3 linked regions of the Macaca fascicularis genome follow. The protein of the gene in region 2 interacts with the protein of the main gene of each other region in a pairwise test. Links are inferred from orthologs where the notes say so. Each region holds a gene or a part of one and is shown on either strand. Other genes may lie near its edges.

What was found.
Region 1: the proteins of SEPTIN1 (region 2) and AMOT interact in binary tests that used the Homo sapiens proteins (3 or more experiments, as listed by UniProt). The two-hybrid records come from large-scale screens. The link is inferred for Macaca fascicularis from reciprocal best matches to the Homo sapiens genes SEPTIN1 and AMOT.
Region 3: the proteins of SEPTIN1 (region 2) and AURKB interact in binary tests that used the Homo sapiens proteins (3 or more experiments, as listed by UniProt). The link is inferred for Macaca fascicularis from reciprocal best matches to the Homo sapiens genes SEPTIN1 and AURKB.

Annotation. Positions count from the first base shown.
Region 1 is NC_088395.1:119,286,963-119,290,569, forward strand, and holds part of AMOT (angiomotin), read right to left. Parts: coding exon 3,463-3,607; intron 2,332-3,462; coding exon 1,579-2,331; intron 1,251-1,578; coding exon 1,153-1,250; 3' UTR 1-1,152.
Region 2 is NC_088394.1:28,524,084-28,528,248, forward strand, and holds the start of SEPTIN1 (septin-1), read right to left. Parts: upstream 2,802-4,165; 5' UTR 2,782-2,801; coding exon 2,764-2,781; intron 2,604-2,763; coding exon 2,513-2,603; intron 2,417-2,512; coding exon 2,330-2,416; intron 2,122-2,329; coding exon 1,998-2,121; intron 1,701-1,997; coding exon 1,566-1,700; intron 1,472-1,565; coding exon 1,354-1,471; intron 1-1,353. UniProt on the Homo sapiens protein: Filament-forming cytoskeletal GTPase. May play a role in cytokinesis.
Region 3 is NC_088390.1:8,288,355-8,292,655, forward strand, and holds the start of AURKB (aurora kinase B), read right to left. Parts: upstream 2,837-4,301; 5' UTR 2,791-2,836; intron 2,509-2,790; 5' UTR 2,484-2,508; coding exon 2,436-2,483; intron 169-2,435; exon of another isoform or gene 108-168; coding exon 5-107; intron 1-4. UniProt on the Homo sapiens protein: Serine/threonine-protein kinase component of the chromosomal passenger complex (CPC), a complex that acts as a key regulator of mitosis.

The sequences.
Region 1 (3,607 bases), on a different chromosome or scaffold from region 2:
CTGCAATCCACCTCTCCCCCGACTGCAGCATAGTACTTTGGGTTTCTCATGTTATTCCCTTGGAGATGATAGTCAAAAATGCCTTTTAAGACATATGCTTAGAATTTGACACACAAAACAAGTTATTTCAAAGTAGTCACCAGAAATTCAAAGCATTCAACCTGTCAACAAAGATCCTTCCTCACTTTGCAAATGATTGGCAATTTGAGACTGGAGCCCCAGCCAGTGAATCTGTGCTGTAGAAGAAATAAACACTAAGCTGATTGGTCTTAATAAATGCAAGCAAGCTATGTTCATGGCTACACACAGACCATGAAAGTCTGCATATAGCACCTCACGCAAGTCTCCATCAAGGCCTCTGATGGTCTAACTCCCTAAGAGAGAGGAAGTTGTGCATCACTCAGTTAATGTACTCTCCCAGCATCTGAAAGCAATATATTAATTATCCAAATGCATAAATTATTCCAGAGCATATATATGAATGTATGAACCTCCAGGAGGGAACCAAAAGAATCCGTTTCCAAAGCACCACTGAAATGAAGACAAACACAATTCCCTGGGGCAGGGTAGATGGGAAATTGGAAGAAAAAATTAGCTCCAGCACCCTTCTGCACCCCAAAACTCCCTACCTTTTTTCCAGCTTACATAGCTCCTGAAACTATTCCCTTTTATAAGCCTGAGGTGAGAGCTTTCTCCGGCTGCTGCACAGGATAGTAACTATACAAGACAGCACACACTCAATTCTCTCCAGCTTCCCACTTCCAAACTACGTATTACACACTGTCTTCCACACATACTGTGCTCTTCAGTTAAAAATGATCTAGAATATGGAAATTTTAAACAAATTTAAGCACATTGAAAACACTGATGTATGCCCACCCGTTAACAGTCCCAGTATTTGTATAAATTCAAACAATAAGCTTTAGAGCACATTCTGATTAATCTGTCTTTAGAGGTACTCCCTAAGCATACCAGAATAGACTGGTGGTTCACATGGTATTACTCAAGTAGTACATTGTTCCAACAAAAAGTCCTGTTAAAAAACATCCCCTCCCCCCAACCCTTGTCCTCACCCCCAAAACAAGAACCAATAAAAGGGGGAAATGATTAAAAGCATTTTTGCTGAGAATCTGCAGCTCTTGAATTGGCCGTTTAGATGAGATATTCCACCATCTCTGCATCAGGCTCTTGTCCCAGGATCTGAATGGGAGTTTTTCTTTCCAGAGTATTGGAGTGGAACACAGGCCCATCTAAATGGAAATAAGGGTTAGAAAACACTTAGGGATGAAGAAAAAACCTGTATTTCTAGAACTAGACACCATCAGAGCCCTCATGAAGCCAATGGCAAAGTGAGACTTGTCACCTCCCTCATTTACTTCTGCTAAGATAATGGCCTCCACTCATGCCTGTTCCCATCTTGGTGGATGAGAAGTCATTTACAGACTCTCTTCTCTCTCCCTTAGAACATGAAAAATTCAGTCCAAAGGATAACTCTGCCCAGACATCAGGCAACAAGAAATAAATCTGTATTTGAGAGCAGAACTAAACCAAAAGTTACCTGCTAAAGGGAATAATTACCTGCTTTGTCTGGATTGCAGGTCAAACTTGGTATAGACAAACGATGTGGTCCAGGACCGGTAGCTGGACTTGCAGGAACCTCAGCCTGAGCCACAGCTGGAGTTGGAGTTGGAGCTGGAGTTGGAGCTGCAGCCGTAGCTGAAGTTGGTGCCTGAGTCTGAGCAGGAGCAGAAGCCTGAGCCGCTGCTGAAGCCGGAACTGGAACCAGAGCCGGAGCTGGAACCGGAGCCGGAGCAGCTGGAGCAACCTGAACAGCAGCAGCAGCAGCAGCAGCAGCAGCAGCAGCAGCAGCAGCAGCAGCAGCAGGAGGAGGAGGAGGAGGAGGAGGAGGAGGAGGAGGAGCAACGGCAGCAGCTGAGGCAACAGAGGCAGCAGCTGGAATCTGACCAGCAGCAGCTGGAGAAACAGCAGCAGCAATAGCAGCAGCGGTGGCTGGAGACGGGGCAGCAGCAACAGCAGCAGCAGCAGCTGGAGCAGCAGCAACAGCAACTGGAGTAGCAGCTACCATGGTGGTGGTGATAGTGGCAGCAGTGGCGGTGATGGCGGCAGCAGTGGCGGCGGCAGCAACTGGAGCAGCAACAGAGATGGGAGCAACAGTTGCAGTTTTGTTCGATTCCGTCCCACGTTCAGTTTGGGTACTGCAGTCTCGGCTGCCTGTCTTGGAGTGAGCCGAGGGCAGGGGAGTCGAGGGGGGCACAGGCGAGGGTGTGGAAGGGACATATTCAGCACGGTAGTCTCCACCCAAGAGAATGCCTACAAATGAAAGGGGAACAGACATTAGAAAAAAATAGGTGATTCAAATCCAGACATCTAATTACCTGTTCTCCCATTCAAATTTCAGAAGAAATTTGAATGTGTCTAAATTATTTATTTTTGCCTCCAGGGAACCCAGAAATCAGTGTGTGAGGCTCCTCCAACCATGGCTAAAAGTTTCTTACAGACTTCGAAGATCCCTCTGGTCCTCATCCATCACCTGGCACAACATATTAAGCCTGTAAGTGACCTGGGTATCTGTTTTGATTTATTTTTCCAATGGTGATTGGGTTCCACCAAGTTGTCAGAATGCTCCTACTCGGCTCCACTTATAAACCATTACCACACATTACCAGGGAGCAAGAAAGGATTTGGAGAATAAGTCTATTGACACAGATTAAGTGTGGTAATAATTGTGTGATCTAAGGTTCTCACCATGACCATAGTCTCCAAAATGCTTATTCTAACCAAAAGATATTATAAGTATCAGAGGACCAAGAAAGGAATTAAAAGCAACAAAAAGGGTTAAAATAAAAATACATATAAGCTTCCTTCCTCAGGCTCTAAAAATGTGCCCGTGGTATCCACAATATGTCTGGGGTTTTGATTAGAGGGGAGGGAATGGACAGGAATGGAATGAAAAAGTACATTCTGTTCTCATCTCAGAACACTGTGGGAACAAAACCTGCTACCCAAACGATTTAGCGTAACTAAAACTCTGGGTTCTCCTATTATACAGGAGGAAGGAACACAGAAATGCTGGAATTTTGAAATTCTGAATGACAAAAAGGCCACATGGGTTCTGGAGAAAGATAAAGGTGCCACATGGCAAAGGTCAAATGTGAGAATATTTTAGAGGAAATTAGAGTTACCTTCCTTCACACCCAAATGAAACTCAAGATTCTTGTCCTCTAGGCTTTGGCCTCAATCAGTATTCTCACCAGGAGACTTCAAAGTGTGGAGGAGCTCCAGAATGTGGAACTAGGGTCTCAGGAGGAATATGAACCCAAAACCCTGGTACACCTTCCTCTCCAGAACCTGGACCATCATCCCTTTTCCTTAAGCATGGGTGCTTGTCTCATGGCTCTCTTTGAACACATGACTATAATCTTCCTTATTTACTGTCATTACCTAGGCTCCCCTTCCAGCTCTTGTCATCTCGCTTTTCTTCCATGATGGGGGTGCCAGTCAGGGTGGATGAGTGGGAGAGCAAGCCTGATCCAGCATTGGAAATGGACATCAGAGACTTCGCTGGCCGCATGCACGACAGCTGCTC
Region 2 (4,165 bases):
ACAGGCCACAATGACAGACATTGCATGACCAGAGACAGGGAGACACAGAGATACTGGCTGGTCAGAGACAGAAAGACAAGACAGAGATGGGGAGAGATGGACGTACAGGAAGACAAAAACAAAATCTCAGAGACATAGATGGTGAGAAACACAAGATTCTAATATGGGGCAGACATTAAGAGACCAGGAGAAGCCTGGGCAATATAGCTAGATCCCATCTCTACAAAAAAATATATATATTTTGAAACAAGGTTTCACTCTATCACCCAGGGTGGAGTCCAGTGGCTCCATCTTGGTTCACTGCAGCCTCAACCTCACAGGCTCAGGTGATCCTCCCATCTCAGCCTCCTGAATAGCTGGGACTACAAGTGCACACCACCACACCTGGCTAATTTTTATATTTTTTGTAGAGATGGGGTTTTGCCATGTTGCCCTGGCTTGTCTTAAACTCTTCAGCTCAAGTAATCCACTGACCTCAGCCTCCCAAAGTGCTGGGATTACAGGTGTCTGCCACCACGCCCAGCCAAAAATGTTAGCCGGGCATGGTGGTGCTCATCTGTAGTCCCTGCTATTCAATAGGCTGAGGCAGGAGGATCACTTGAGCCTACAAATTTGAGGCTGCAGTGAGCTATGATCTTGCCACTGTACTCAGCCTGGGCCACAGAGTGAGACTCTATCTAAAAAAAAAAAAAAAGAGAGAGAGGCTGAGAGATATATAAGCAGAAACAGTGGAAAAGGGCTCTGAAGACACGGGGTGGGGGCCAGATGGAAGTCACCATGTTCTTATGTCTATGCTCCCGCCCCCAAATAGGCCTTAGCCAGGCATCTAGCCCAGGGGCTGCATATCTAGCCTATTTTGAGCCTTCAGAGACATGGCTACGCTGGCTGGCAGCTTACCACCCACATTCCTCAGAAGCTTCTCCTACAATCTAGCCTGAGACACTATGCTCCAAAAAGGCCACTTTAAGATCAAAGAAGTCGGCCGGGCGCGGTGGCTCAAGCCTGTAATCCCTGCACTTTGGGAGGCCGAGACGGGCGGATCACGAGGTCAGGAGATCGAGACCATCCTGGCTAACATGGTGAAACCCCGTCTCTACTAAAAAATACAAAAAACTAGCCGGGCGCGGTGGCGGGCGCCTGTAGTCCCAGCTACTCAGGAGGCTGAGGCAGGAGAATGGTGAAAACCTGGGAGGCGGAGCTTGCAGTGAGCCGAGATCACGCCACTGCACTCCAGCCTGGGTGACACAGGGAGACTCCGTCTCAAAAAAAAAATAATAATAAGATCAAAGAAGTCTAAGCTGAAATCAGGTTTGGCCTCACTTGGGGTCAAAGGCCAGAGGTCATCACTCACACCTTCTGCTTGAGGGCCTGGGTTTCCTGGGGCATCAGGGCATCCGCTTTGCCAATGACTGGGATGATGTTGACTTTCTCGTGTACCGCCCGAAGGAAGGCCACATCTAGGGGCCGGAGCCTGCACCCAGGGATTGGTCAGTGCCCAGCCTCAGGGGGCAGAGACCCCCCAGCCCTCCCTAAATGCCCCAGCCCCCAGGATCCCCCCACCAGACCCCCGGCCAAAGGGTGAGATGAAGTAGAGGCAGCAATGGACGCGGGAGTCCTGGATGTTCTTCCGGTTCAGGCCACTCTCATCCCTAAGGTACTGCTCAAACTGCTCCTCGATGAATTTCACCACGGGAAGCCAGCTGGGTGTGGGAAGAGGATGTGAAGTCAGAGATCAAAGGCCAGAGGGCAGGGGGCGAGGCTAGCCAGGACTGTGGGAATAGAACATCATTTCTTTGGCTCCCTCCAAAGACATTAAAGGGAACTGGTGGGGGCCTAGGCGAGTCATCAAGAAGCACAGAGACCCAGTGACCCTCTGAAACAGACACAACCTTTTGGAATAGGGAGCCAGCACAAACCAGCCCTGTAACTGACCCGTTGGTCTTCAGGGAGTCGCCACTGTGAGAGGCTGAGCCTCTGTCCCCTTCCCTCTTCCTCACCAGTCAGAGCAGTCCACTGAGTCCCCAAAGCCAGGCGTGTCCACAAGGGTTAGCTTCACTTTCACACCTCCTTCCTCGATCTCCACACCCCGGCGCTCAATGGCCAGGGTCTGTGTCAAGCGAGCTGTGGGAGGGGGGAGAGGTCAGGGATCCAGGGAGGCTCTGAGGCAAGATTAATTTCCTTTGTTAATATCACAGTTGCCTGCACCCATTTTCCAGGGGAGGAAAGTCTCAGAAAAAAGTAGTCAACTACCTGAGTCCCCAGATGGAAAAGACTAGGGTGTAACCTGGGGACAGGGGCCACTGCCTGGGGAGGGTGGGGAGGGTCTTACCACTGGCCTCTGGCACCTGGCGATCCTCATAGAGGTTGGTGAGGAAGAGGCTGTTGATGAGGGTGGATTTCCCTAGGCCTGACTCCCCTGTGGACAGAACAGGCCCAGCTGGTCAGGGGAGGGGACAACCAGGGTCTCCTAAGGGCATCCTCTCTGCAGTTCCCTCTCCAAAACCCCCCAGACCTGCCACCATTAGTGTGAAGTCAAACCCCTTCTTGACAGACTTGCGGTGCAGCTGGTTGGGGAGGGCAGCAAAACCCACGTACTCCTTGTCCTGTGGATGGGGGTGGACAATATGAGGCTGCTGGCAATGGCAGGCAGGGTCCCCAGGATCATTTGAGTTCCTGGGCTAGGAAGAGTCAGTGGGGTCTGGGGACCCTAGGCATAGGGGGCTGGGGGCCGAGATGCCTGGGTTTCTGGGCATAAGGACTCACCATGACTCCGCCAGCCATCACTGCACCTGCCGTCTCTCCCCACTTCCTCTGGTGGGGCAGGAAGCTGAGTGCGGCTAACGAGTGGGCGGGCAGAAGAGGCAGCTGAGATGCTCAAACTGGCCCAGTCCCAGAGAGGTGGGGAAGGCCAAGGCCAAGAATACCTGGGGTTATCACCTCCTGGACCCCTTTGCCCATCACCCCTCTATGCACCTTCAACCCCTCCATCTTTCACACATCTGGATTCCAAGTCCCACTGTAACTCCATTATAATGGTGAGACATGGGGTATGTGCAGAGAGGAAGGAAGCGGCTCCCTTTGTTAGCAAGTGAGATGAAGGTTTTGATGAGCTGATTAAAAACCAGTTCCCAGGACAGGCAAGGTGGCTCACGCCTGTAATCTCAGCACTTTGGGAGGCAGAGGAGGGAGGACTGCTTGAGCCAAGGAGCTCAAGACCACCCTGGGCAACAGAGGGATGTGCCCCTCTACCATCTCTACAAAAACTTTAAAAATTAGCCAGGCATGATGGTACAATCCTGTAGTCCCAGCTACTGGGGAGGCTGAGGTGGGAGGATTGCATGAGCCCAGGAGATCAAGACTGCAGTGAGCTGTGATCACACCACTACACTCCAGCCTGAGCAACACAGCAAGACCCTGTTTCAAAAAAAGAAAAAGAAAAAAAATTCTCATGGTTTAAGTGGACCAGAAGCCATGATGGGATTGGGAGTGGATAAGGCCATCCATTTTCCAGCTAAGACAATGGATTCATAAAAGGACTCCAGGTCTTTGGAAACCACTGCCGGAGAGATTTTCCTTCAGAATCCTGGCCAAGGAACTCCGCTGCTCGAAATCCTTTAGGAACTCCCCAGTAACTCAGAGTCAAGTCGGAATTCTGGCCTGACTGCCAAAGCCTCCTTCAGCTGGCCTCATCACCCCATCTCTCACTCTTCCAAACATCCTTGGCTCTCTACCCACATTGAGCTTTTCCTTTTTCCGAATCAGTTAAACTCTTCCTCATCCTTCAAGTGTTTCTTTCCAAGGGCTCTGCCTCTATGCAATCTCCCCACCTACCATAGGCAGGGTCATTGTTCCTTCTTCAGATTCCCAGCACCAGGCTGGGCATGGTGGCTCATGCCTGTAATCCCAGCTCTTTGGGAGGCCGAGGTGGGTGGATCACTTGAGGTCAGGAGTTCAAGACCAGCCTGGCCAACATGGCGAGACCCTGTCTAGCAAAATACAAAAATTAGCAAGCGTGGTGGTGTGTGCCTATAATTCCAGCTACTTGGGAATCTGAGGCAAGAAAATTGCTCGAACCCAGGACATGGAGGTTGCAGTAAGCCGAGACTGCACTGCTACACTCCATCCTGGACGACAGAGCAAGACCCTATCTCAAACAAACAAGCAA
Region 3 (4,301 bases), on a different chromosome or scaffold from region 2:
GTACCTGTGGGCTGGACATTGGAGCGGCTCATGAGGACAAGTGCAGATGGGGTGACAGGCTCTTTCCGGAGGACTCGCTGGGGCAGGGTGCTCAGGCCAGACGGAGCCTGAGAAGGAGCAGGGGGTAGCTCTGAGGGTGCCTTTGTCTGATGACCCGGGTGGAATGTGCTGCAAGCAGTATTTCAGCCCCTTGCTAAAGAGCCACCCACCCGCCCACCCCCAATTCAAAGAGAAACACTGATGTGACAGTTTTGCCTCCCAGCCTCTGCTCACAGTCCCATGTTAAAATGGGTTATTCATAAACAACCTAGGGCCGGGCGCAGTGGCTCACGCAGTCAGGAGTTCAAGACCAGCCTGGCCAACATGGTGAAACCCCGTCTCTACTAAAAATACAAAAAATTAGCCCAGTGCGGCTGGGTGTGGTGGGTCACGCTTGTAATCCCAGCACTTTGGAAGGCTGAGGCAGGCGGATCACGAGGTCAGGAGTTCGAGACCAGCATGGCCAACACAGTGAAACCCCACTCTACTAAAAATACAAAAATTAGCTGGGCGTGGTGGCGAGTGCCTGTAATCCCACCTACTCAGGAGGCTGAGGCAGGAGAATCGCTTGAACCTAGGAGGCAGAGGTTGCAGTGGGCCGAGATTGTGCCATTGCACTCTAGCCTGGGCGACAGAGCTAGACTTCGTCTCAAAAAAAAAAAAAAAAATTAGCTGGGTGCGGGTCCTGTAATCCCAGCTACTTGAGAGGCTGAGGCAGGAGAATTGCTTGAGCCCGGGCGGCAGAGGTTGCAGTGAGTTGAGATTGCGCCACTGCACTCCAGCCTGGGCGACAGAGTGAGACTCTGTCTCTAAAAAATAAAAATTAAAAAATTAAAAAATAACCTAAGTAGGCCTAAGATAAGGGGCAAAAGACTCACACCAACACCTAACATTTCACCTCTTTGGCCCTGGCCCACACTTTTCAGGCATGAAGCTGTTCAACTTGTATAAGTCCTGTCCATAACACCACAGCCATTCATCTAGCCTCTCACCTACACCACAGTAGAGAGCTGGGTGTCTACTGTGAACACCCACAATTCAAGGGGTTTAGACAGAGGTATTCTCAAAGTCTCCCAAAAAGCTTAGTTTATTAAGGCTTAGATAAGAAGCTTGAGGCCTTGAATGTTATAGCAATAACCAGGGGTTACACCTTTGCAAGAACAGCCTTTAAGGACACTAAGAGCTACTCTGATGGCCCTGGACCACTTCTCACTTTCACCTTCTTTTTTTTCTTCTGAGATGGAGTCTTGCTCTATTACCCAGGCTGGAGTGCAATGGCGCCATCTCGGCTCACTGCAACCTCCACCTCCCAGGTTCAGGCAATTCTTCTGCCTCAGCCTCCTGAGTAGCTGGGATTACAGGCGTCCGCCACCATGCCTGGCTAATTTTTGTATTTTTAGTAGAGACAGGGTTTCACCATGTTGGCCAGGCTGGTCTTGAACTCCTGACCTCAGGTGATCCACCTGCCTCAGCCTCCCACGATTACAGGTATGAGCCACTGCACCTGGCCTCACTTTCAGCTTCTCAAAATAATAGATACACTTTCTTTTAGGAGTGACCAAGGTAAAAGTGACAATGGTTTCTCATTCAGACTCCATTCCTGACAGCCTCACTCATTGCTCCGTGAGGGAGGGAGCTGATGAACAAGGGGACAGGCAGATTCTCCAGGAAGCCCGAGCTCCACAAACAGGGAGCAAAGCCTATGCAGGGCCCCTTCCTTCTTCTTCAGCCAAGAGAAGAGAGCCCCTATGCCCCTAAAAACCTCTTCCCAAATAGTGATATTGGTACAGATCTACAAATAAGCAAGTTGAATAAAATACAGTCCAGAAATAGACCCACATATATGTGGGAATTTATATATATAATAAAGGTGGCATTTCAAATCAGAGAGGAGGCCCCTCAATGAAATCTGTCTGGACAACTGGGAAATAAATCCATTTAGATTCATTGAGATCCTTACCTCAACTTACTCATTAATTCCAAATTATAATTTAGACTTTTCCTGGACCTTTTAAACAGTAACTTTATATCCTTTTAGAGTCTATTTATATTTGCTGTCTAGTTTATTTTTTTCAGGACATGGGTTGGGAATCATGGCCTGAAGGCCAGGCCCTGCCTGCTCAGTCCCAGATATCACTTGTGTGTGATGAACCCTGCAGAGGCCCTCACCGGCTGGTAGTCACTGGCTGGTCAGATTCAAGTTGGCAGCACCTAACAGGATGTGGCTGGCTACAAATGCCCAGACCAGGTTCTGTCATCAAACTTGGGGCGCGTACTTTGGAGCATAACGGGAAAGAAAGTGCATAAGGGATTGCTCTTTGCACGATCTCAAGTTTCCCAGCAGGAACTCGCCATGCGGGGTCATGTGGGCGCGGGGAAGGAGGGAAGGGCCTTACCGTCTGCCGGCCGTAGGGCCAGGGGTAGGCGTTCTCCTTCTGGGCCATCCTTAGAGGGAAAGGGGGAGGAGAGCTGGGCCGAGAAGGGAAACAGCCGTGAGAAGCAGAGAAAAAGAGAGAGAGAGAGGTAGGGGTTGGACCGATCAAGCCGGAAGCGCTAGCCCGAGCTGGTAAAAGGGAGCAGGTCAGCACACTAGCTCCAATCCGGGCGCTTGTCTCACCGCCCCCACCCTGCTATCATCCCTACCTCCTTCCAGCCCTGCAGTGTGCGCGCAGGCCAGCCCAACGGACCCTCTGATCTGCCTGATCATCTGCCCACTCCTGGCGCAAGGCCTGCGACAGGAGGCCAGCTCACCTGAGGTCCAAGGTACTGCTACTCTCCCGGCCGCCCGCAAACAACTGAATCTGCCACGCCACGCCCTGGCCGAGGACCTTTCAAATCTCCCGCCCCGGCCCCATTGGGTGAGCTCGTCGCCCATGCCTAGTTCCCATTGGCTCGATGTCCTGTGACGTAAGTAATGGGAACCCAACGGAAGAGGCACGCTTGGCTTCCAGCTTAGGAAGGTTTCCCCACATTCCCCCAGTGAATTATCTTCCTTTTTCTTTTCTTTACTTCCCTTCCCTTCCCCTCCCCTCCCCTCCCCTCCCCTCCCCTCCCCTCCCCTCCCCTCCCCTCCTCTTCTCCCCTCCCCTCCTCTTCTCCCCTCCCCTCCTCTTCTCCCCTCCCCTCCTCTTCTCCCCTCCCCTCCCCTCTCCTCCCCTCCCCTTCTCTTCTCCCCTCCCTCCCCTCCCCTCCCCTCCTCTTCTCCCCTCCCTCCCCTCCCCTCCCCTTCTCTTCTCCCCTCCCCTCCCCTCCCCTCCCCTCCCCTCTCCTCCCCTCTCCTCCCCTCCCCTTCTCTTCTCCCCTCCCCTCCCCTCCCCTTCCCTCCCCTCCCCTCTCCTCCCCTCCCCTCTCCTCCCCTCCCCTCCCCTCCCCTCCCCTCCCCTCCCCTTTCCTTTTTTGAGACAGAGTCTCTCTCTGTCGCCCAGGCTGGAGTATAGTGGTGCTATCTCGGCTTGCTGCAACCTCTGCCTCCCGGTTTCAAGCGATTCTCGTGCCTCAGCCACCCGAGTGGCTGGGATTACAGGCGCCCGGAATTTTTGTATTTTTGGTAGAGACGGGTTTTCACTATGTTGGCCAATCTGGTCTCGAACTCCTGTCCTCAGGTGATCCACCCGCCTGGGCTTCCCCAAATGCTGGTATTACAGGCGTGAGCCACCGCGCCTGGCCTTCTTCTTTTTATAAAAAAAATTAAATCTTTAATATAACTGGAGTTTATCCTTATACATGTATGAGCTGGGGTCTAACTTCTGCGCGATGGAGAGCCAGTTATGTCAACACCATTTGTTAAACAAACTGCCCCAATAGAATTTAAATGCTGCCCTTGATATATAATGTTAGCATATTTACTTGTGTCTATGTCTAGACTTTGTATTCTGTTGTTTGCTCATTTGGCTGTGTGTTTATTCTTGTGTCATTACTATGTCGTTATTAAAAGTTCTGACATTCCTGGGAGGAGTTTTCCACGAGTAGACCTTTCCTTGCAAGATCTCTGTTAGCTGCCATGTTGTTTGGGCCCACTTTGATTTTTCCTCCTTCCTGCCACACTCCCTTCTTTTCTGCTCTTCCTAACCCTCAGATTTCATTACTGGGTAATGAATACATTACTGTAAATAAATACATTTCTGGGTCTTCTATGAAATAACCAGTGGATACTTGTTAAGTATGTACTGTCCAGCACTCTTCTCCTTTCTCCTAACACTCTTATTTTCCCTTAGGGGACCACCTGTCTCTCCAGTCTAAGTAGTCGGTTTCTGTAGTAGTTT